Linked DNA regions of Schizosaccharomyces pombe. The gene in region 4 interacts genetically with the main gene of each other region. Each region holds a gene or a part of one and is shown on either strand. Other genes may lie near its edges. The genes, in order: rog1, eca39, gmh4 and sac12.

What was found.
Region 1: mutations in sac12 (region 4) and rog1 together harm fitness more than expected from each alone (negative genetic interaction), as found in Schizosaccharomyces pombe (one large-scale study listed by BioGRID).
Region 2: mutations in sac12 (region 4) and eca39 together harm fitness more than expected from each alone (negative genetic interaction), as found in Schizosaccharomyces pombe (one large-scale study listed by BioGRID).
Region 3: mutations in sac12 (region 4) and gmh4 together harm fitness more than expected from each alone (negative genetic interaction), as found in Schizosaccharomyces pombe (one large-scale study listed by BioGRID).

What each region holds. Positions count from the first base shown.
Region 1 is NC_003424.3:2,561,296-2,567,726, reverse strand, and holds rog1 (lipase), read right to left. Parts: upstream 3,838-6,431; 5' UTR 3,767-3,837; coding exon of another isoform or gene 3,764-3,766; 5' UTR 3,641-3,763; exon of another isoform or gene 3,571-3,640; 5' UTR 3,449-3,570; coding exon 3,421-3,448; intron 3,300-3,420; exon of another isoform or gene 3,257-3,299; coding exon 927-3,256; 3' UTR 857-926; downstream 1-856. Other genes in the region: fatty acid synthase alpha subunit Fas2, read left to right, coding at 1-687; protein Cwf21, read left to right, coding at 3,764-3,766, 3,838-4,716; vrs2 (valine--tRNA (Val) ligase Vrs2/Vas2), read left to right, coding at 6,013-6,111, 6,165-6,317, 6,356-6,431.
Region 2 is NC_003423.3:441,456-446,425, forward strand, and holds eca39 (branched chain amino acid aminotransferase Eca39), read right to left. Parts: upstream 2,482-4,970; 5' UTR 2,460-2,481; coding exon 1,176-2,459; 3' UTR 889-1,175; downstream 1-888. Other genes in the region: nucleoporin Nup107, read right to left, coding at 1-29, 86-212, 263-296, 338-385, 461-520; thiamine-repressible acid phosphatase Pho4, read right to left, coding at 3,962-4,970. UniProt on the Schizosaccharomyces pombe protein: Catalyzes the first reaction in the catabolism of the essential branched chain amino acids leucine, isoleucine, and valine.
Region 3 is NC_003423.3:1,387,153-1,392,485, reverse strand, and holds gmh4 (alpha-1,2-galactosyltransferase Gmh4), read right to left. Parts: upstream 2,951-5,333; 5' UTR 2,304-2,950; coding exon 1,393-2,303; intron 1,340-1,392; coding exon 1,264-1,339; 3' UTR 820-1,263; downstream 1-819. Other genes in the region: SPOM_SPBC8D2.18C (adenosylhomocysteinase), read left to right, coding at 1-819; SPOM_SPBC8D2.16C (uncharacterized protein), read left to right, coding at 3,749-3,874, 3,918-4,739; lipoic acid synthetase Lip5, read right to left, coding at 5,035-5,333.
Region 4 is NC_003424.3:2,060,756-2,065,988, reverse strand, and holds sac12 (inositol polyphosphate phosphatase), read left to right. Parts: upstream 1-2,206; 5' UTR 2,207-2,347; coding exon 2,348-4,183; 3' UTR 4,184-4,416; downstream 4,417-5,233. Other genes in the region: eisosome BAR domain-containing protein Pil2, read left to right, coding at 1-1,136.

The DNA.
Region 1 (6,431 bases), 500 kb from region 4:
ATCCATCCTGATTACATTTACGGTGTGATTGATGAGGCTACTTATAATGCTTACAAAGCTAAAACTGCTGCTCGTTATAAGGCATCTTATCGTTACACCCACGATGCGCTGGTTTACAACAATTTGGTCCGCGCCAAGGATTCTCCTCCTTACACCAAAGAACAAGAGAAAGCCGTTTATCTCAATCCTTTGGCACGCGCTTCGAAGAGCAAAGCTGGCACTTGGACTTTCCCTGCCACACTGCCTGCTGAATCCGACATTTCTAAAACCAACGAAACTACACGTACTCTACAAAGCCTAACAACCTCATTGACCAACTCCAATGAAAATGTTGGCGTGGATGTTGAACTTGTATCAGCGATTAGCATTGATAATGAGACCTTTATAGAAAGGAATTTTACTGATACCGAGCGAAAGTACTGTTTTGCAGCTCCTAATCCCCAAGCTAGCTTTGCCGGACGTTGGTCAGCCAAAGAGGCTGTCTTTAAGTCTTTGGGTATTTCCGGTAAAGGCGCTGCAGCTCCATTGAAGGATATCGAAATTATTTCTTCAGAGTCTGGTGCTCCTGAAGTAGTTTTGCACGGAGAGGCTGCGAAGGCTGCAACGACCGCCGGTGTGAAGAGTGTTTCCGTCAGTATTTCCCACGATGATAATCAAAGTGTCAGTGTTGCTTTGGCTCACAAGTAATTTACGTTATATTGTCTTTCAACATTGGTATGCGGATTTTCGCATTCCCTTCAATCGTTTGATTTAATACACTATCTTTAATCTTTTTGTTTACCTCAAATGCTTTGAAATGGTTATCGATTTTTGTAGTCGTTATATACGCAGTTAGAAATAAATTACTTTTAACCTTATAAATTATTATGCTCTAAAAAAATGCAGTATCATTAAATTTAAACGAATGTCTTAACACGTATGAGTATTTAAACTGATATTGAGTTATCTTCATAAATTTCTGAAAGCCAGGCAGCGGTTGTTGTTTCATCGAAAGAAATGGGGTTCATATATGCTGTTGAAGTGTTTTGCTCGAACAAAATTTCAGTTAGATGCTTAATCACTGTCCAACCGTAAGCATTCGGAAACCGCCTACGAACAATCATGGTATTGTGCGCATCACCATCGAGTCTAACAGCAACCTTTCTCCACGCAAGCCTATGCCAGTTTTTGGCAATAGTAATTTCGTTAGACAAAAAACCATTATTCATGTTGTTTAGCTCAGTAATTCCATCAAAAGTAGAAAAAGAGGCAGCTGGATCATGGACATTATCAGATACAACAACTTTATGCAGATGATATTTAAAAAAGTAAGAATCTGTCGGAACAGCTGGGATAAACAAATTTGTAAAAGTGTTGACAACTCGTTGTGCAACTCCTGAAAACGTGGAAGTTGGATCTAATTTAGGGGCTGAGCAAAAAAATTGGTTTGAAGAATTTGAGACATCTAATTCATCTGAGCCAAGACAATTGGGTTCAGTAGGCTTCCTAGCATTTTCATCCTCATTTTTTACTAATGGAATTTCAGTATCTGTAGTTTTGGATGCCGAATAACTGAACAATCCTACAAAGGATTTAAGAGCTTTAGAAAATGAAGATCCAGATTCTTCTGAAGAAGCATGGATTTTCTTTGCATTATCTCCGACACTTTGAACTGTTTGCTCATTTTCTTTTAGTGTTGGTGAAATGCCATTTTCCATATGCGTAGGCATAACCTTATCTGAACCCTCAGCTTCCTCTACCTTACCCAAAGAACTAACTTCCATTGCGCTAGTTCCAAAAGGGACGATATAGTCATTGGTAGTATTTGCAAATAATATTCTTTTTTCAAAAAACGAAACAGCTTGAAAGAAAGGCGTGGAAGGATCAGACATCAAAACAAGGAAAGGTCTTGATTCAATGGAGTGATTCAGTGGAGTTAAAGATAAGTCTTGTCCTGTCTTACCAATGATACCATAGGACAAAGCCTTACCAATATAAGAAGGATGTTCACCAGCAACACCGAGCCAAGGAGTTGCCAAAGTTACAAAAAACACAGGGTGAATAGCCTGAAAAAAGGCACCGTGCGTTTTTGCATGTACATAACCAACAGCATATGTTTGAACCAATCCACCAAGTGAGTGGGCGACAACTGATATATGGGAATATCGAGGAAAAGATGCACTTCCCCAGCCCGTAATATCCAACAGCCATTCACCAAGTCGTTTACCCAGCCAGCGAACCCCTTTCTCAGTCTGACAGTAGTTACCGGTAAATCCTCGAACAACTACTAGTTCCTTAACAGATTTTGATGATTCTATTAGTTTTTCTTTTAAATACTCCATATCAGCACCAACATTAGAATGCATTCCATGAGTTAGCACCACCAAATGTGAATTCTTTGAATGAAATGAAGAATACGGAAGACGCCATAAATTTTCCGGAGTTTGATGTTCAACGTGTAGAGCAGGGAATGCATGAAGAGTATCGATATCAGCAGCTGACATGGCTCGAATGGAATGTTGAGATTGCGATATAGCAAGCTCAAAGTTAATAGATCTATCTTTAAAAATCGCCTGACTTGCAATTTCAATGTAAATAGGCTGCTGATTGGAAAAACATGAATAAGGTACACAGACCCAAAAACTAGTAGAGGGCTGTACCTGAGGATCAAAGTTTAATAAAGAATTTTTTTCATCAAAAAATTGGTCATTCCAAACGCTAACGCATAATGTAAATGGACCTTGAAGATAGGCTGCCTGGCGGAAACGTGCTTCTCTATTCCTGACACGAATCCAAAGTACCGAGTTAGTCGAATTTATGAAGGGAGCTGTAGAGTCGCTTCCTGCCAAGGGATTTTTTACTTCACGAAGATTAATAGAAGAGAATGAAGTACCTACAGAAGGAGAAGAAGAGGTATGAGAGACACCTCTTGTTTGTTCAGGTATGTTGATTGCATTGGTATTATCTGTAAACGCACCAACTTTATGATAATCTTTTGAAGAAGATGAAAAATCGCTGGAAAGAAGAGGTGAGGATTCTGAATTTGCATGCTTCGGATTCGTGCTACTATTATTCTCTGAGATTTGCTTGCTGATATTCTCCCCACTAGAGATTGTCATCCCACCTGAACCTGCTCTATCCTCGATGCTACCACTCTCTTTCTTAGTCACTGAATTGAGGTTCACAGTGGGGGGCACAGTTGTAGAAGACGTTGCCGAATGCAAATTGCCCCCACTCTGCACAAAAATTCGAAATCGATGTATTTGACCTAAACCAACTGTACCATGCCAATGTTAGAACAAGTATTAAATATTTATATGCCATCCCAAAATTTTTGCATCGAAACAAGCATAACAAATCGAAACTTTAAATAACGAGCTGATAATATCAACTTGCAAATACAATTTAAAGGAGTGGTAAATTTTGTTTAAAGTAACTTACCGTCATCTCGTTGTACATATACATTCATAATGTCAGAAGTCAAGCGATGACAACTCAAAAACTAGTAAATCTGAAAATTAGCTATTCGTGAAAGGTGAGAGATATCAATTATTTTTCAATACCGGTCAACGAATAGGGATAAAATTTTATCTGTTTCAATTAGTAAATCGCTAGTTGCTCATATCACGTAAAAAGTAACGCGAATTTATCAGTGTCCTACCGGTAAAATTTGTTCGCTCGATTCCTTTGTTAGACTAGCTGTTCGACGAACCTATATAAACTCAGTTTTTCTAATTTTTGAGCAAAAGCAAAAATCGAACGACTTCACGGGAAATAAAGCAAGATGGTAAGAGATGCATAAAAAGCTTTCTTTAATGAAGAAGACACCAAAATTGAGTCCTTTGCTAACAATTAAAGTCGTATAATGGAATTGGATTACCCACTCCAAGAGGATCAGGAACAAATGGATACGTAATGCGGAATCTGTCTCACGTAAAAAAATATGACAAAAATACAAATCTACAGTCAAATCGAAATGCAAAAGCTCTGGAAAAACGGGTTCAAGATCCTTCAATAAGCGAGCATGAATGCCGTCGACAAATTGAGTCGAAGTTGTTGTTGTACAGAGAGCAGTTGTTGGAGGAGGTCAGTTCCCAACACAGCACTGATGCAGCGGCATCTGATTCCAATACAAATTTTGGGACTGAAAACCCGAAGCCACCTAAAGCAATTATAAAAGATGAGCAATCACAATCGAAAACTAAATCTTTAGATGAAGCTGATGTAGAAATTTTAGTACAAAAATATCGAGAACAGTTACTTAAAGAATTGCAATTACAAAAATCTACTGAAAAAGGAAAAAATTTTGAATCCATTCTTCAACCTCAGAAAAGAAAAGAAACAAGAGGATTTCACTCGAAAAATGACGATGATGGGCGATTAGAAGAAAGAGACGATTTGAGATCATCAGTTGACGATGATTATTATGATTACCCGCGTTATTCCGAGAGGAAATCATTAAATTCAAAAAGGCATGTGGACAATTACAATGAAAATAGAAGAAGACATTACGATTCGTATTCCTCCTACGATGAATTAGAAAGACGACGGAGTAGTAATGAAAGTTACTCAAGGCGTTCTGAATTACCCAGAAGAGATTATAATAGACACGATGAACGGGAAAGGTATTCTTATCATAGAAGGAGAGAAAGAAGCAATTCACCCTCCTATACGAAGAATGAGTCAATTCCTGTTGTGGACAGGGATTCCTCTCCTGAGGGTGGCGAAATTGTATGAGGCCCAAAGAGTTAGGCCAGTTAAAACAATAATATAATAGGCAATTCATGCAAGCATGTATTGTTTATTAATATTGGATAATTATTCGGGTCATCAACAATCGTTGGATTAATATGAATATTTGGTTAGCAATACACGTTAGTCAAATCCCATGAAGCACACGACTGTTCAATGATATAAAAAATATTATTCTTCAAAGAAAAAATACTATCGACTTTATATTAAGGCTGTTAAGTTGCACGATTTAAACATCATTTGATATTTTTCTTTTTCACGGAGGGATAATGAAGCAATTTTAAATTTACAATTACGCTTTTACATTTGTATTTTAAATTCATTAATTAAGCATAAAAGAATCTTTTTAATAAAGATTTTCGAGATTATTCACGCGATTTTAGTCAAAGTAGCTCTTGGCGGCTTTGTTTTCCTGCATACTGTAAATCTCAGAGCTTTTATACCAATAATGTTTATTATATATATTTTACAAAATGAACTTGCTTTAAAGCAATATTAATTATATAATAAAACCAATTTATAAAAAAAATTATAATATAAGTTTAATTATAAATAATACAATTTTTATTTTCTGATGATCTTCGGATCACTTTGGTCAAATTGAAACGATACAGAGAAGATTGTAAGTAACAATATTTACCAAGGTTCGAGTCATACTAACTCGTTGTTTAGAGCATGGCCCCTGCACAAGGATGACACTGCGACATTGAGAGAAAACCCATTTTTTTTTCTAAACAAAATTAATCATACATTCAAATCTTGATTTCCAATCGCTTTAACTTTTTTAAAATAAATATCTATTGTTTCATATAACTTTCAATTTCCTAGATACTACAGTACATTAAACACGTATTACAACTTCTTGCTAAGTCGCAAAGCATTAATTAATTAGTTTTCTGTAGATAATTGAAAAGAAAAAAAACATTTTTTCATCGAAATTTTTTATTGGACAGGTAAATATATTTAACGCGATTACTCTATCGAAATCTGAATTAAAAACTAGTTAAAAATTTTCGACTAGCTTGTTTGTTACTATCGCCAATATACCAAGCTTTGTTCACAAAGCAATTGACTAGATGTAGGTTCATATAGCATATTATACGAATTGGCAGCATCAATGGGTAGGAACAGTGAGCTCGTATTTCACTTTAACGTCTCAAACGGAGCAAAGTTAGCCTCTTCTAAACATTATCAGCATTGGTCATTCCTGACTCCCTTCTATGTTCATATATTGTTTCTTGAATTACAAAAAATAATTCTTCGTTTTCATGTTACAGTTCTATGTTTCATTTTCAACGCTCTTTTTCTTCGCGTAAAGCTCATGGGTTACTAAGTTTTAAGAATCGTAACTATATACACATTGAAGCTCCCTTTGATATTGTATTATTTCTTTATTTCATTTATCTACCGTGTATTAATAACTCAATAAATAGGCAGCGATCCAAGATGGTTGGAACATAATTCGTAAACACATTCATTATCCCAAGCCTAAAAGCATAGAAGCTCCAATGTTTCCCATCTTGCTCCCACCTCCTAATATTACTGGAAAATTGCATATCGGTCATGCGTTGACCATCACGATTCAGGTATATGATTTGCAAAAACAAAGAACTAACAATTGAAGGACGCTCTAGCTCGTTTCTATGCTATGCATGGCTACAAGGTTTCCTTTCGGCCTGGCACTGATCATGCTGGCATTG
Region 2 (4,970 bases), on a different chromosome or scaffold from region 4:
CATCATCTTCTTTCAAACATTTTTCAAATCTATTTATGTTAATACAAGTGTTCATTCAAGTCAAAGTACAGAACGGTAACCATACTTTTCCTGACACAACTCATAGTATGCATATAGCAGCCCATCCTTTGAGAATAAATTGTCTTTCTTTAAAGAAGTGATTATATTAAACTTTTCGTATTCGTCTCCAAGTTCAACGCTTACGGCGGTTTCTGTACCATAGTTAGATATATACTTTACTTGTACGTGATAAGCTTTATACCATTTGGGCCTATGCAAACGACATTTTGATTCATCTAAATGGTTAAAATAATGTTAAATTTATTTAATAACAAACCTCGGCCTCTTCTTCGTCCATTTCAATTAGTTCTTGAATACTAGAACTCTTCGTATGTTAGTACTTCTGTGTTCCAAGCAGTAGAAATTGACAATAAGGGTTAAAATCTTATTATTAACTTACTCCATTTTTTTTGTGTCCAAGGACATTCAGAGTAGCATTATTCAATGCATTCTGATGCATGGTTTTGAAATCCAACCTCGTATGGGTTAAGATCGTACTATAGCAGCAACAAGCCATCCAAGCAATGTAATTTCAACAGACCAATTCTAATGCTATATTTCAGTTATATGCATACTATTTTCTTTTTTTTACATATTTATATTCATTTGTTTATCTACTACTTCTTTATTTCGAGAAAAGACATAAAATTTATTAAGTCCATGAATTTTCTTGTCAACTCTGCACACTAGTAGAATGGAACTAACTGTTTCCACGATCAAATGTCGAGCCCAATCAATTACTTTTCTCTCATTTACCATGTAGCTTAGATAATTTTATTTACTATTACATTTTTACACTTTACTAGCCTAAATGAATAATAAACGATGTGTATTGAATAAATTTAATATATCTGTAGAATAACACTAATTGATGTTTACGCTAGTATTGAACAATTCATAAATACTCCGATTGATTTACAAATTTATATACAAGAAGACTATCCTTCTGTAATGTTATCAATAAAAGAATTGAAAAGGAAAAGTAACACGAATCAGAGAAACCAACAAAGATAAAAGGGATTAACCCTCGAAAGGTCTATATGTAATAATTATGGACACCTAATATCATAAATGTCTAAAGACAGACATAGTTAGGTATTTTTTGAGAATTAAATTTAAGGCAAAGCAGGAACGCTCCAAGGGTTGTTAGGTTCCTTGCCGTATTGGATATCCAAAATCCATTTGCTGATTTCAGAAGTGATGGGACCAGCTTCCTGACCCTCAGGCATGGGAATTTCATACTCAGTACCCTTGTAGTTAATAGCCTTGACGGGGGAAACAAGGGCAGCAGTACCAGCTCCAAAGACTTCCAAAAGGCGACCTTCCTTAGAAGCTTGAGCAACCTCTTTCATGGAATACTTGCCCTCAGTAATCTTCCAGCCTTTAGGTGCGAGACGTTCACGGCAAATTTCCAAAATAGAATCACGAGTGACACCAGGTAAGATCATACCGTCAAGAGGGGCAGTAATGATTTCTTTTTCGCCATTCTTGTTAATCCAAACAGTAAAGCAGTTCATAGTACCAACCTCAGTAATGTAGTCCTCGTCTCCATAAAGCCAGAGAATCTGAGCATACCCCTTCTTGGCAGCCTCTTTTTGAGGCAAAACACTAGGAGCATAGTTACCACCAAGCTTGTAGTGACCAGTACCGCCAGGCCAAGCACGAACGGATTCTTCGGAGCAACAAAGCTTAACGGCCTTGAAACCAGAGCTGTAGTAGGGGCCAACGGGAGAGGCAATAACATAAAGCATAGCGTTGTCACAATGGTGGACACCTAAGGCTTCATCAGTACCAATGAAAGTAGGACGAATGTACAAAGAGTAACCACGCTGATCAGGGACCCAACGGTTTTCGTGAGCGACGAACTTTCTGATAATTTCAGCAAGCTCAGCAGGGTCGAAGGAAGGAAGAGATATACGAGTACCAGTTGAAAGCATACGCTCAGCATTCTTGATGGGACGGAAAAGACGTGGGACACCCTTTTCGTCACGGAAAGCTTTCATGCCTTCAAAGCACTCAAAACCATAATGGAAAACGGAGGAAGCAGGGTGAAAGCAAAGTTTACCAAATGGAACGATCTCAGGAGTACTCCAACCCTTTTCTCTGTTCCATTTCATAATAAGCATATGATCAGTAAAATTCTCACCAAACTTCAAACTCTTCCATTCGGGCAAAGGTTTAAGCTCCTTAACATTAGTAACTTTTATATGGGAGCTATCCATGGGCTTTGGGCCATGGAGAGCAGCAGTTTGAACCATGGTACGAAGTTGTGTAGTGTTGAGGAAATTTTTACAAGCCTCAGAGCTTTGTTGAGAATAACCTACAGAGCCACGTTGAAGGGCAAAGCGAATATTTCTGCCTTTTATATTGCCCGCTCTCCTCAAAAACATTAAACTCATTTTTTCTTCTTCTTCGCCTGATACCGAAAAAGTTGGGGCTAGGTAAAATAAATAATAGCGTCTATCCAAACGGATCTAGAGACGGCCGAGATTAGATAGCTGATTGGTAACAACTACAGGGTGCTAAATGGACAAGTAGGTTTGTTAAAGAACCGAGATCAATAGTGATAAAGACTGACCACGTGGCCACCTTTAATCCTGAGTACCATTGGCATAGCTTTAGTAGTAATAGCATAAAGAAATTAGTTTGAACTCATAAAGGAAGCTAATTTATCGACATCAATTTTTATAATTATGATTTTGACACTCAAATTATTAAACCGATGTTGGAAATAAGCGATCATCGCCTAAAACGTATGTCAATTTTTTCCCTTTTTATATTGCGACAGGTGTAAATGAATTTTGAAGAAAATGAAAGGTTAGAAGGAATATTTTAGAAAACTAGGTTTCTTAACATTCTCGAAAAATGTTGGACATTTAGAACGCAGTTGAGATACATGTTTAAAAACTCTCTCAAAAGTTGCAAATGGCCTATTCTTTTAGCAATAAAAAAGCATTCGTTAAAACACTAGGAGTAGGAGTATAGATTTTCCCGTGCAATTTAATGAAGATTCATAGGTTTGAGATACGGTTATTTGGTAAAGTTGTGGGCAAAGAATATAGATTCTTACACATGCGGTAATCAGATGAGTTTGAAAATGCGCTGTTTGGTGTGATTACCATGTTTAATTATTGAAGATTTAATGCTTTGGTAATTCCGGATAGCTGGTTTTTCGCGAAAATGTTTGAAATCGGTGATTTTGGATAGTATCTTAAAAAATAAGAAAATTGTCAGAAGAAGCACCTTCTTACGCGAAGCCTTAGTTTTATCATTTGGAACATCTCATGGCAATGTTCATTTTGATTTATAGAGCTACAGATATTAAAGGGTTTAAAAAAAGGGATTGATTGATTCTTTTATCCGTGTAATGGAAAAGGAGGACTAGGGATTTTTTTTTTGGCAAATTACATGACTTTCAAATATTTTAAATGAATTCTATTAAACTTTTGTGTCGTTCGTGTGTGGTAAAAGGTGAGTTGTTGACGCCAAAAGGAATCGTTAATGTACGCGTTATATCTTGAGAAATGTTTAAGATTTATCCCGACCTATTAATATTAATGATTTGGAAAGGAATTACAAAAGCTACGGAGTCACTTGAAAGGCTTTGAAGTAAGTCGAATTGAAGAATTAGCTTCACCTAAAGGCGGTACGAGTGAAGGTTATAGATTTCGTACTAGGCATTTAAAACTATAAGTATTTCCTTTTTTGTTCAAACACTGACACAACTCGTTTATACTATGTCTCGTAAGTCTTTCTTGAATATATAAATGCTCACTTTCTGTTCGCTCTACTTTTCCTCCTTAATACCTAAGTCTTATACATAAGCTATTACTATAGTTAAAAATTATCTATATTATTCCTAAGGACCCAATTGTGTTAACAATAATATAAGATGCTAAGTCTAGTAGTAGACGGTAACGTTGGTGGAATGCGCCTGACATTGCGAGTTAAAATTAGCAATACCATTAGAGGTAGAATTAACACGAACCGAAGAATTCAAGTAAGCGCTCAACTCGCATAACCCATCTGAAGCACCACTAGGACCATAACCGCAATCAGTAAGGGGGTATACTTGCTGGTTGACGAGATGGCGTACATAGTATTTATTATCAGAACATAAGAAAAGTTCAGTAATTAAGTTTCCTGCGAAGGGAACGAACGAAGAGGTTTTTAATGAGTATGTAAAAATGTTTTTGTCAGTCGGTAGAGGGTGCTCAGGAGTAATGTCGGGGAAAAACCCAAGAGCAGCCTCGACTGGAATAATTTGAGAGTCGTGGGTAAACGCTAAGAATACCTTACGATCGGAAGCATTATTCACACCCTTACGAAGATTATTTGCAAGGTTATTAACATAAGCCCCACCTAATGTGGAAGCCCATTCTGAAGCGGGACCACCCCAATATGCGTAGTCAAGGTCACTGTCATATTCAAAATTCAAAAATTCAGAGGGAGTAAAGAGTGAACAGAAATCGCTGTTATCTCTGAGAGCGATCTCGTATACACAAATATAGTAAAGACTGCGAACATCCGAAACCGTAAGATTATAACCGCTATCAAAGTATTTGTTTAAGCGATTGGCGATAGGCTTGAGAAAAACATTACGCCAACTAGTATGGGCGGCTTCAGTAGTGTTTTCATCAATATTGTTGTCTTCATAAACGGGACAAGAGTAATACATAGCTAAGGAGTTTGCACCCGCAGAATCGTCTTCCGGAAGAACGATGAAGTTGGTTTTGTTCTGCATATCATCGCCAAACATTCCATAACTAAACCATTCTGCAGAGTCGACAACACGTTCTTGAGCAGCAGTATTGATATCGTAGACATCAGTGTCGAAAAGCTCATAGTAGCGCTCAAAAACTTGACGGCCCAAGTCAAAAAGTTCAATTCGACCGCTGCTGGACAACTGG
Region 3 (5,333 bases), on a different chromosome or scaffold from region 4:
GTTCACAACTTGTACAAAATGTTCAAGGAGAACAAGCTTAAGGTTCCTGCTATTAACGTTAACGACTCTGTTACCAAGTCCAAGTTTGACAATCTTTTTGGATGCAAGGAGTCCTTGGTGGATGGTATCAAGCGTGCCACTGATGTTATGATTGCTGGTAAAGTTGCTGTTGTTGCTGGTTTTGGTGATGTTGGTAAAGGTTGTTCAACTTCTCTTCGTAGCCAAGGTGCCCGTGTCATTGTCACTGAAGTCGATCCCATCAATGCCCTTCAAGCCGCTATGGACGGTTTCGAAGTCACCACTATGGAAGAGGCTGTTAAGGAAGGTCAAATCTTTGTTACCACCACTGGTTGCCGTGACATTATTCGTGGTGAGCACTTCAACGAAATGAAGGAGGACTCTATCGTTTGTAACATTGGTCATTTTGATGTCGAGATCGATGTCGCTTGGTTGAAGGCTAACGCTAAGGATGTTGTTAACATCAAGCCCCAGGTTGATCGTTATGAATTGAAGAACGGTCGTCATATCATTCTTTTAGCTGATGGTCGTCTCGTTAACCTTGGTTGTGCCACCGGACATCCCTCTTTTGTTATGTCCTGCTCTTTCACTAACCAGGTCCTTGCCCAAATCGCTTTGTGGACCGATAACACCAGCTATCCTCTTGGTGTTCATATGCTTCCCAAGAAGTTGGATGAGGAGGTTGCCCGTCTTCATTTGGGTAAACTCGGTGTCAAACTTACTACTTTGACTTCTGTTCAATCCGACTACTTGGGTATCCCTGTTGACGGTCCTTACAAGGCTGATCACTATCGTTACTAATCTATTCTTATCATTTAGTTTATAGAATTTATTTTGAAGTTATAATTACTTTAAAAATGTTTCAGCCTCTTTTTTTTGCATGAGTGATGTTTCAACAGCATCTATGTCTCTATGTCGCCATGAAATGCATTAATGTTATTCAACTGGGTTTATGTGGATTTCAGGTCAAACATAATAAATGTTTCTTTCTTTGCATAGAATAGCAATTAACGTGCTTTCATTAAGAAGATTTGATGAATATAACATATGAATTGCTTGACTTGTAAACCAATCTGCGATGTATTTCCGTAAACGAAAAACATATCTTCCCTTGATCAAACAAAGGAAATTAAGTATAAATTCATTAAATTAATGTAGGAATATGCAAACCACCGAATTTGAAAGATAGGTTTAGATGAAGATGAGTTACTGGAAATGAAAGTAAGATGCTAAGACAGTACTAACCTACGATTGTTCATCAACCGTTTCTTCCGAAAGCTGCTTTTTAATGGCTGGAAGTTTTCTCTGTTGATAGTAGTTGCTGGAAGTGTTAGTAAAAATACAAGAGACCAAGATGATAAATAGAATACATACTCGAATATACGCTCGCATGCAGCAGCGTTCTCACAGTCCTGAAGAATAACCAAGAAATCACCTTCTTCGTAATTCAAATCGACCGCAGAGTTGGTGTATGAATTTAAAACTTTAGGAGACACAAGTGCAACATGATCCAAGATAGTGTTATGTGCTTCCAATAAGTGGGATAGCGCAGATCGCTCAGCTTGATCAAAACCGGCGGATTTCAACAAAGGTTCATTCCAAGCATCTAAAAGAAATGGCGCAAAGTTGTTATTTTTAATAAGCAAAGAACGCGTACTAATTCCATTATAATCACTGGTGGTAATTACAAATACATCAGATGGATCCATTTTACGGCGTGTACGGATGTAGTTCTTTAATGGATCGATCGGAGAATTAAGAAGCAAATGCTGCGACAGTTTTTCTGGTTTCAAGACCCTATCCTTGAGAGATTCGGAAGGATTCATTATAACAGCCTTTGCATCGAGCAACCATATCCAGCCAGCGTCGGGATACTCAGCCAAAGTTTCCCTCAAAGCTGGGATAATACTCCAAGTACCATAGACACCATACCTCGCTTGAATATCGCGGGCTTTCTTGTGGACTAGGGTATAGCCATGACGCAAGGCATACTCTGTACGATCAGAAAGCACTTTATCCAGGAAGACAGAGCTGGAGTCAGATCTACTTGAATCATAATGGTCGTCAAAACTAACAATCAACATGACTACGGAATCAGGATCTTGTGGAGATGTTTTCGCCTTAGAAACACCTTTGTATGAAGAGGAATGGGCACTGGGAGAACCAATCGAATTGGAATAAACAGGCATTGAAGACTTTAAAGAATAAAAGCCAAAAAGCAATAAAACGATGGCCAAGAGACCTAAACTTTTTCCTCTACGAGAAAATAAACGAAAGTTGAACATCTTGCAGAATACAAAGTAAAAAAGTGCAAAACAAACAGTTTGCGAGAAAAAATGAGTTGGTTATGCGCGTCTATGGAACAAGATAACGGTTTAAAAGAATAAACCTTAGGGGTTTTTTAAATGTGCAAATAATGTAGAAAAGAAGGTAAGAGAATATCTGTAAATCGAGAAGGTATAAATAGAGAAGAGAAAAAAAGGTATAAAGATCTGGGTCGTAAAGAAAATGGAATATATATGGCCCTTTTTTAAATGCAAATAAATGATCCAACGATATATACGCGAGTATATCCGAAAATTAAAACAGTAAAGATGTTACAGAGGGCGTTTTCACTAAGAAATACGAAAAACCGGATAATGAAAGAAACCTTGCGAGAACACAACGCCTAGCTTTCAAAATGAGCCTTTTTGTCAAGCTATATCGGCGATATTTAAAAAAGAGGAAGATTCTACAATTTAAACAACAATAGATTATAGCTTATCCTGACAACAATCCTTTTACACCGTTTCAAAGACTACGAGTCAAGATGGACTGGTTATTGATATTGAATATGATTTTTACAGAAATCAGGATCCACCCAACCACGTACTAAGAGCAGAGAAACGTTGCTTTTATAATTGGCAGCAACTTGGCTGTATTTGTAGTCTGCGTGTTCGACATTCGAAGGATTTTGATTAACGTGTACGATGCATCCTACCTAACGTACTCTAACGTGTTTTTAGATTTTTTTAGTGATATTGAAATTATACTTTAAACTGTTATAGCGTTATACCCGGTGCTACTCATTATATAGCGAAAATCATAAAAGTAAATAGTAAATAGAGTAAGATTGAAGATGAATTGAATCAGAGTCGATGAACTTCTATTGACTTAAAAAATTATGTATGTAATTAATAAAATATCATCTTGTTTTTTCTACTAACAAATTTTTACAGCGGTTATATACAAGCTTCGGCGTGTATAGTTGGTTTATATAAATTGCAAGCAAAGTGTACACCATTTTTTTTATTATTTCCATATAAAGAAAAAAAAAAAAAAAAAAAAAGGGGATTCTATAGCCCTTTGGTATTTACGAAGACTCATTGATAGTTTAAATCGCACTCATTGAATGGCATTAAACACATTTGTTTGTTTGAATTTTTTTCATTGTTTATGAAGTACAGGATTTTTTTTTTTACCTATCAATAAAAGTATTGATATAAAATATCCCTTTACCTTGATCAATACTTCAAAAAAAATTTAAAATTAGTTTAATTATATTAAATGGACGGTTTTTAGCCTGGTAAATGAAATTCATGCCTTTACTCTTCACCAACTTTTTAAGACGTTAAAATTTTTATAAAAAGCCAAATCCTAATATTCTGTTTCCCAAGACAGCAAAAAGTAAATAAAATACTGCTACTTGGGCCATATTATTACTTCTCATTAATTGCTTACAGAAACTGCTATGGAAAAAGAAAGCGAAATACAAAGCTTACCACCAACGAGACGATATACGATATCTTTAGCATTACCTATTTCAAGTCTAAATGTAGCATACAATTTGCAGCTTAAAACGAGTTTTGTCTGGAAGGTTTGAAAGATTCGTTGTTGTCGCGTATTAACTCAAAATATAGATTTCGAGAATAGTTTCTCTATATGGTATTGACGAAATTATTTTGCTAGAGGACCCTGAATATGTGCAAAACACCCAGGTACATACACTTTCCTCTGATGCTTATTTAAAGGATCCCACAAAATTTCTCACGGACTTATTATGCTATTTCGAAACGCCTTTCTTTATGAGGAAGGAATTGTTTCCACTAAATCCACATCTAAAATATACTAGCTGCTTTCCATTACTTCCCCTCAGAAATGACAAGGCTAGCACAGTGAATATTGAATTCCCATACCGAGAGGGAATCGTTACTCATCCATCTCCGCAAGCAAAGAATAAATATATTATAAATGCTGGACTATCTCACAATGTAATCGTTTCCAGCCCCAGCGTCCTTGCTCCTAGAACAAGGGTCACGGTTCGATTAAAAGCGCAGTCTCCAAACGAAGAAGGCCAGCTTCAAGGTGATATCGTGTCTTTTTCAGCTCCACGAGAAAAAGGTGGTCATTATTGGGGTTACAAGGTGCGGTCATGTCTTTCTTCTCAGCTGTGTAAAAGTTCTCCTTACAAAGGTGGATATGACTTTGTTGTTCAAATCAACAGTCAGACTTCAGCTATTACTTCAAAAGAGTTAGAAGCGAGTTTACCAAGTTCGTTTCGGCATGCTGTTCTTGTTTTACAAGACAATGTCGTACAAAAAGAGCTCGTAGACTCCACTGCCAAAAGTATTTCTTTTAACCCATTCCCAGTTTCTTTTCTAAATGATCCCATTCCTGAAGAGATACTTTTGGCGGCCATGACCCGTTTGTCAGATATGTTGCTGATGCATGGACGACGATAAAGCCTAAATACTTACAAAGGTGAAGCTGTCTTTTTCTTACTTAAATATTATAAAGCTGTCTCGCTAATCAAGGAAAACAAAATCAATTTTGAATATGATAAATTATAAGGATAACTTGGGTATAAAGACGATATTAGAAACTAAGACGAGAATTATTATGATTAAAATTATATCTAAGAGTGTATTGTTGAAATAAAGAATAAAAAAATTTAAAAGATGATTCGAGTCAATGCAAAAAAGGGTAATTCTGTTGAAGACAAACTCCTATCGAGTGTACCTAGATAAGCAGCCATGTTTAAACACTCATAGAAGCAGGGTTTCCTGATCTCTTTTTAATAAGATTCTCCATAAAATATTCGCCAGCCTTATAGCTACTACGAACAAGTGGACCACTAGCCACGTATAAGAATCCTAATTTCTCTGCCACTTCTTTCCAATATTCAAACTTCTTAGGATGTACATACTCTTGCACTTTTAGGTGTCGTTTGGTAGGTCTCATATATTGACCAAAGGTAACGACATCTACATTATGTTCCAGGAGATCCTTAAGAGTTGTTAGAATTTCCGCATCGGTTTCACCTAGACCAAGCATAA
Region 4 (5,233 bases):
CTTACTCTATTCATACGCTTCGCGCGCCTCCTAAAGCGAAACAGAATCAAATTCCTCCCTCTACTACCCGTCGTGCAGTAAATGTTAATAAACTCGGCAGACAATTCCGTTATCCATCTGTGGGTATGTTTACTCCCGAAATGGCTAAACGCCTTGCAGCTCTCGTTAAGATGGAAAAGGATTTACTTCGATCTTATGAAAACGTTGCCATGGAGCGCAAAGAATGTGCCAATCAACTTTCGTATTGGGGTGAAGATTGCGATGATGATATTAGCGATATCAGTGATAAGCTTGGTGTACTTTTATATGAAATTGGCGAACTTGAGGAGCATATGGTAGACAGATACGATCAATATCGTGTTAGTCTGAAGACCATCCGTGATATTGAGGCTAGCGTTCAACCCACCCGTGTTAAGAAAGAAAAGCTACTTAACTCCATTTATGATGTTAGAAGCCGTGATCCTGAGTCCCCAAAGCTTATTACTATGGAACAGGAACTAGTTCGTGAGGAAGCTGCGTGTTTGGTTGCAGAAGCGCAGTTAACTAACATTACCCGCGAAAACTTTAAACGTGCTTTTACTCTTCATATTGGTACATTACTTGAGCATTCTGAAAAGGTTGCTATTCTTTGCGGGTATGCCAAGAAGATCCTCGATCTCCTGGACGATACTCCCATTGTTCCCGGTGAGCCTCGCCCTATTTACGATGGTTACAACATAACCCGTGACTATATTGTTGAGGCTGAACGTGAGTTGGCTAATTGGCAAAATCCTTTCCAAACTCCTGAACCCCTTACCGACATTGATGGTTTGCCTTCTCAAAGTCATTATCAAACACAATTTCAAGCTAGTGTCGTTCCTCGCACAGATGTAATCAATGAACCTCCACGCCGTTACTCTCATGCGAATGGTGTAACTACTTCCGGCACTACACACTCTTACACCTCTACAGGTAGTAAAAGATATTCTCAAATGGGTACAGAAGATTATCAACCTAGTTTTCAACCAAACATTCTTCAAAGCACCCAAGTTGTTGATAACTTTGAAATTGGCGAGGAGGATGATGAAGAAGTAGGATCTCAAGGCGTTGCTGAAACGTCTATGCCTAGCACTAGTGCACAACCTATTGCTGCTTAAGCAAGTCTTGGTGTGTATTCACGCGATTTCTGGTGATCCTTACGCATTCATCAATTGACGTGAATTTTTTGTCATGTCAATTCACATAATTTGCTAGCACGTGTTAAGCACTTGCTATTGCTACATATGCATGCTTATCGAACTAATACTCACGTTACTCTCATTACCATTGTTTTTGTGTCTATGTCGTTTAACCATATTTATTTTCCACCGAGTTTTATGTTTCGCAGATGTTGGTTTCTTAATTATCTTGTTTTTATTTAGTGTTTTTTTTTAATTCCTGCGGTCAAAATTAGGCTTAACAAGGTTGTTGGTTAAAGCAATTAATTAACAATGGAGATTATTTGTGTTGAAAAAGGATTTTATTAAATGTATGATTTTATAATTTTTACTTCTCAATCCGATTTAATAAAATATTTATGTAAAAATTGGCAGTTCGGTTGTATTAGTAAAAAGCAATACAACATAGATAGCAAATTCAACTGGGTCAGATCTTTAGTATATATTATTTAACAACGGTAAAAATATCAATAAAGCTTAATTAAAGCAAAACATATGCTTCCTTTCGAAGAGTTGGTTATCATATAACACCTAACTTTTATAGAAATTATGTATCAAAATATAAAGCGACATTGCCTATATGTTACTTGCAGTCAAAGAAGGCTCGTAAACTATTTTGATTATGCGATAGAGTATGGTATGTTTTCTGTGATATCTGAAAAACGCTACGATGAATTATTAATTATTTTTGCTACTCTCAAAATCAATAATATCATACAGTATTATGATTTTCGTTTGCCTATTCTTCGAATTATAGTTTGTAGTTCAGCCTTAATATAGGTAATTGGGGAGTATCAGCATCACCAGACGACCTATCTTGTAAAGCAAAGGTACAATGAATAGCGATACTTTACGTATCATTACATAGTGCAATGAGAATTGTTAATAATATCATACATTACACTGTCACTGAAAGTTCGTTTTGTAAAACGTGCTGCATAAACCTTCAGGTAACAATGAACTCGTTACTCAGGCGCTGCGTTGGAAATCAAGCCTTCAAAAATCGTTTCATGGACATTAAAGAGTTTGATTTGAATTTTTGTAAATATAGCATTCTCATTTTTTACTTTTGAGACCTAATTTGGAAAATACATTAGTCCGGGGTTCATTATAGCAGAAAAGCATCTACGCTTCTCAAATACAACAAAATAATGAATCAGGACGTTAGAGTATTTCCAGACAGCATTTATCTATCATGTTCCAAAAAAAAAGCTTCTCTTCGAATAGATAGAGTCGACGGATGCCTTAGTTTGAGCAATTCTCTTGATCTCAGCAAGACACCTGACTATAATAACGTTCAGTTATATGGATTTATTCGATTGAAAATATACAAATATGTAGTTCTTGTTACAAGTTGTGATTTGCATGCAGCAATTCTCGGAAACAATATTTATCGGGCAAGGAAATTTGCTATCTTCCCAATTACAAGGACTCTTCCATTCTCCACGGGTCTGCTAAATATTAAAGATGAGGAAGAACTACATTATATCAGTTTGCTCAATAAACATTTGTCAAAAGGCCAAATACTTTTTAGTCCAACGTTAGATCTAACCTGTTCCCTTCAAAGATTACGCGTACTAACCCAATCTTTTGAACTGACATCAAAATATAATTACCGCTTTTTTTGGAATAAATATGCATTTCATGAATTAATTGAATTGACGAATAAGGATTTAGGCTTTCAAGAATGGATTCAACCGATGATTCAGGGTAATATCGCCATTACTAACTCGTTTTTAAAGACTTATAACCTTAGACTGTGTGTTATTACACGACATTCTCCTGACTATGCGGGTACGCGGTATTTCACCAGAGGTGTAAACGCACAAGGAAGTGCTGCTAATTTTAATGAAATTGAACAAATAATAATGATCGAATCACCCATCACCCTTGAAGAACAAATGGTTCTTTCTTTTACTCAAATTCGAGGAAGTATCCCCATGTTCTGGGCCGAAGTTAATGATCTTCATTATCGACCTTTATTATCTTTACAACCTCTTGATTATAGCGAGACTGTGTTTGGGAAGCATTTTCAAGAACTTGCCAACGATTATGGGGACAATCTTGTGGTGGTCAATCTTCTAGACCAAAAAGGACGTGAAGCACCTCTACGGTCTGGGTTTGAAAAATTATGTAAACGAAATAAAAACCCTCCTTTGTCTTATGTTTACTACGATTATCATAAGCAAGGAAGTAGAAATCTCCCTTTGTTTCTTGCTGAAATTCAAAGTCTCTTGATAGAAGGAAAATATTATGCCGAGCATGGATCTAAAACTACTGCAATGCAAACCAACTTTGTAAGGACAAATTGTATGGATTGCTTAGATCGGACGAACGTCATTCAGACTAGCATTGCACAGTTTATTCTAAACATGCAATTACACGATATTGGTGTACTTTCTAGCTCTGAGAGTTTGGAAGAATATGATAGTTTTTTACAAGATTTTCGCTTAATATGGGCTAATACTGGAGATTATATCAGTGATCTCTACACTGGTACCCCGGCCTTAAAAGGCGATGTGACTCGCCATGGAACGAGAACCATTTTTGGAGCTTTCAAAGATTTATTAAACTGCTTTCGTAGATATATTCTTAACAATTTTTTTGACGGTATGCTGCAAGATAGCTATGATTTGGGTCTTGGAGTATTTCGTCCTTACGACTCACTTTCGATTCCGGACTTGCCTTTGCGTTTTCACTGGACTAGATTTGTGGCACCTGGAATTTTTTTGTTCACCACGATAATATTAACTATACAAGAATTATTTGGAAATCCAAGTCTGTTCTGTCGTCTGTTATATTCTATCCCTATGGTGAATGCTGGAATCTACCTATATTTTCATCGTAGACAATACGTTAATTGGCCTCGTCTAGTACTACCAACGTATGCTAAGGGAGGTTGGTTTTCGTTTCGTAATCATTTCCGAAATATTACTCTTAAAGTGTTTCGTTTTTTGCGTTCCGGCTCTTTCAAAAAAAGTGTCTAACTGTGCATTTCAATAACTAAAGAACAGTATTGCTATAACTCTTAATTAGCAGAAAACGCTCTTTGAACACTCGAAGTTCACTCTTTATTTCATTAGACTTCATAGATGTCAATCTTGCTACTGAACAAAGCGATGCTACCCAACTTTATCAAGTGACTAATTCAGATCATTTTACGTGATTGGTAATTGTAACTTTATTTTCTTTAATTGCTCCAAGCTTCCTACCAATATCAATTAGTAATTTAAGATTTTCATAATTGTTAGAGCCCTTAACAAACTATTGTAGTATGGATAACACACGAAAAAAATATAGCAGACAAAATTAATATTTCTAACTTTTATTAAGTCAGTGTTAAATATTGGGCAACTTTGACCATTGAATCACTGAGGCTTTTGACTCAAGTTTTACTCGGTTTTAAACAGTAAATGAAATATATGAAAAAGCCAAGCTTTCTTTCAATTTCATAAGTGTTGTTCATGTTCAATATTTAGGATACATACTTCTTCCAATTTAGGGGCATTCTGGTTTAATATTTTCAATGAACATGTTATAAAAATGAATTTTTTAAAAGATCATACAGTTCAGCAACGTTTTCTAATACTTCCAATCCAGAATCTTAATTCACAATTCACATTACTGAAAAAATGATGAAGTTATGCCTTACCCGACAGTTTTTGTATGAAAACTCCACAATATTACGAAAATGATTATATACACTTTTACAATCAGCTTAGCATAATTATGCTTATAGAAATGGAAATGCTCACACTTAATTTTGAATATTATTTTAATAGTGGATTTAACTACTCCTAGTACCAAGTCAAAGACTTGAGATCACTTAATGTAGCTTACGGAAGCGTAAACATCTCTCGCAATAATACTGCGTAACGAAGACCTGCAATTTAGTATATTAAGCTTGAACTTACACGTATACCCCTCTTGTTTATGTTAGCAGGAGTGCAATGTTCTGAACTTGTATATTTTAAGCCGTTCTGTTAAATATTATTAATTTAATCGTTTTTCTTTTTAAAAATTATAGCTTTTTAACG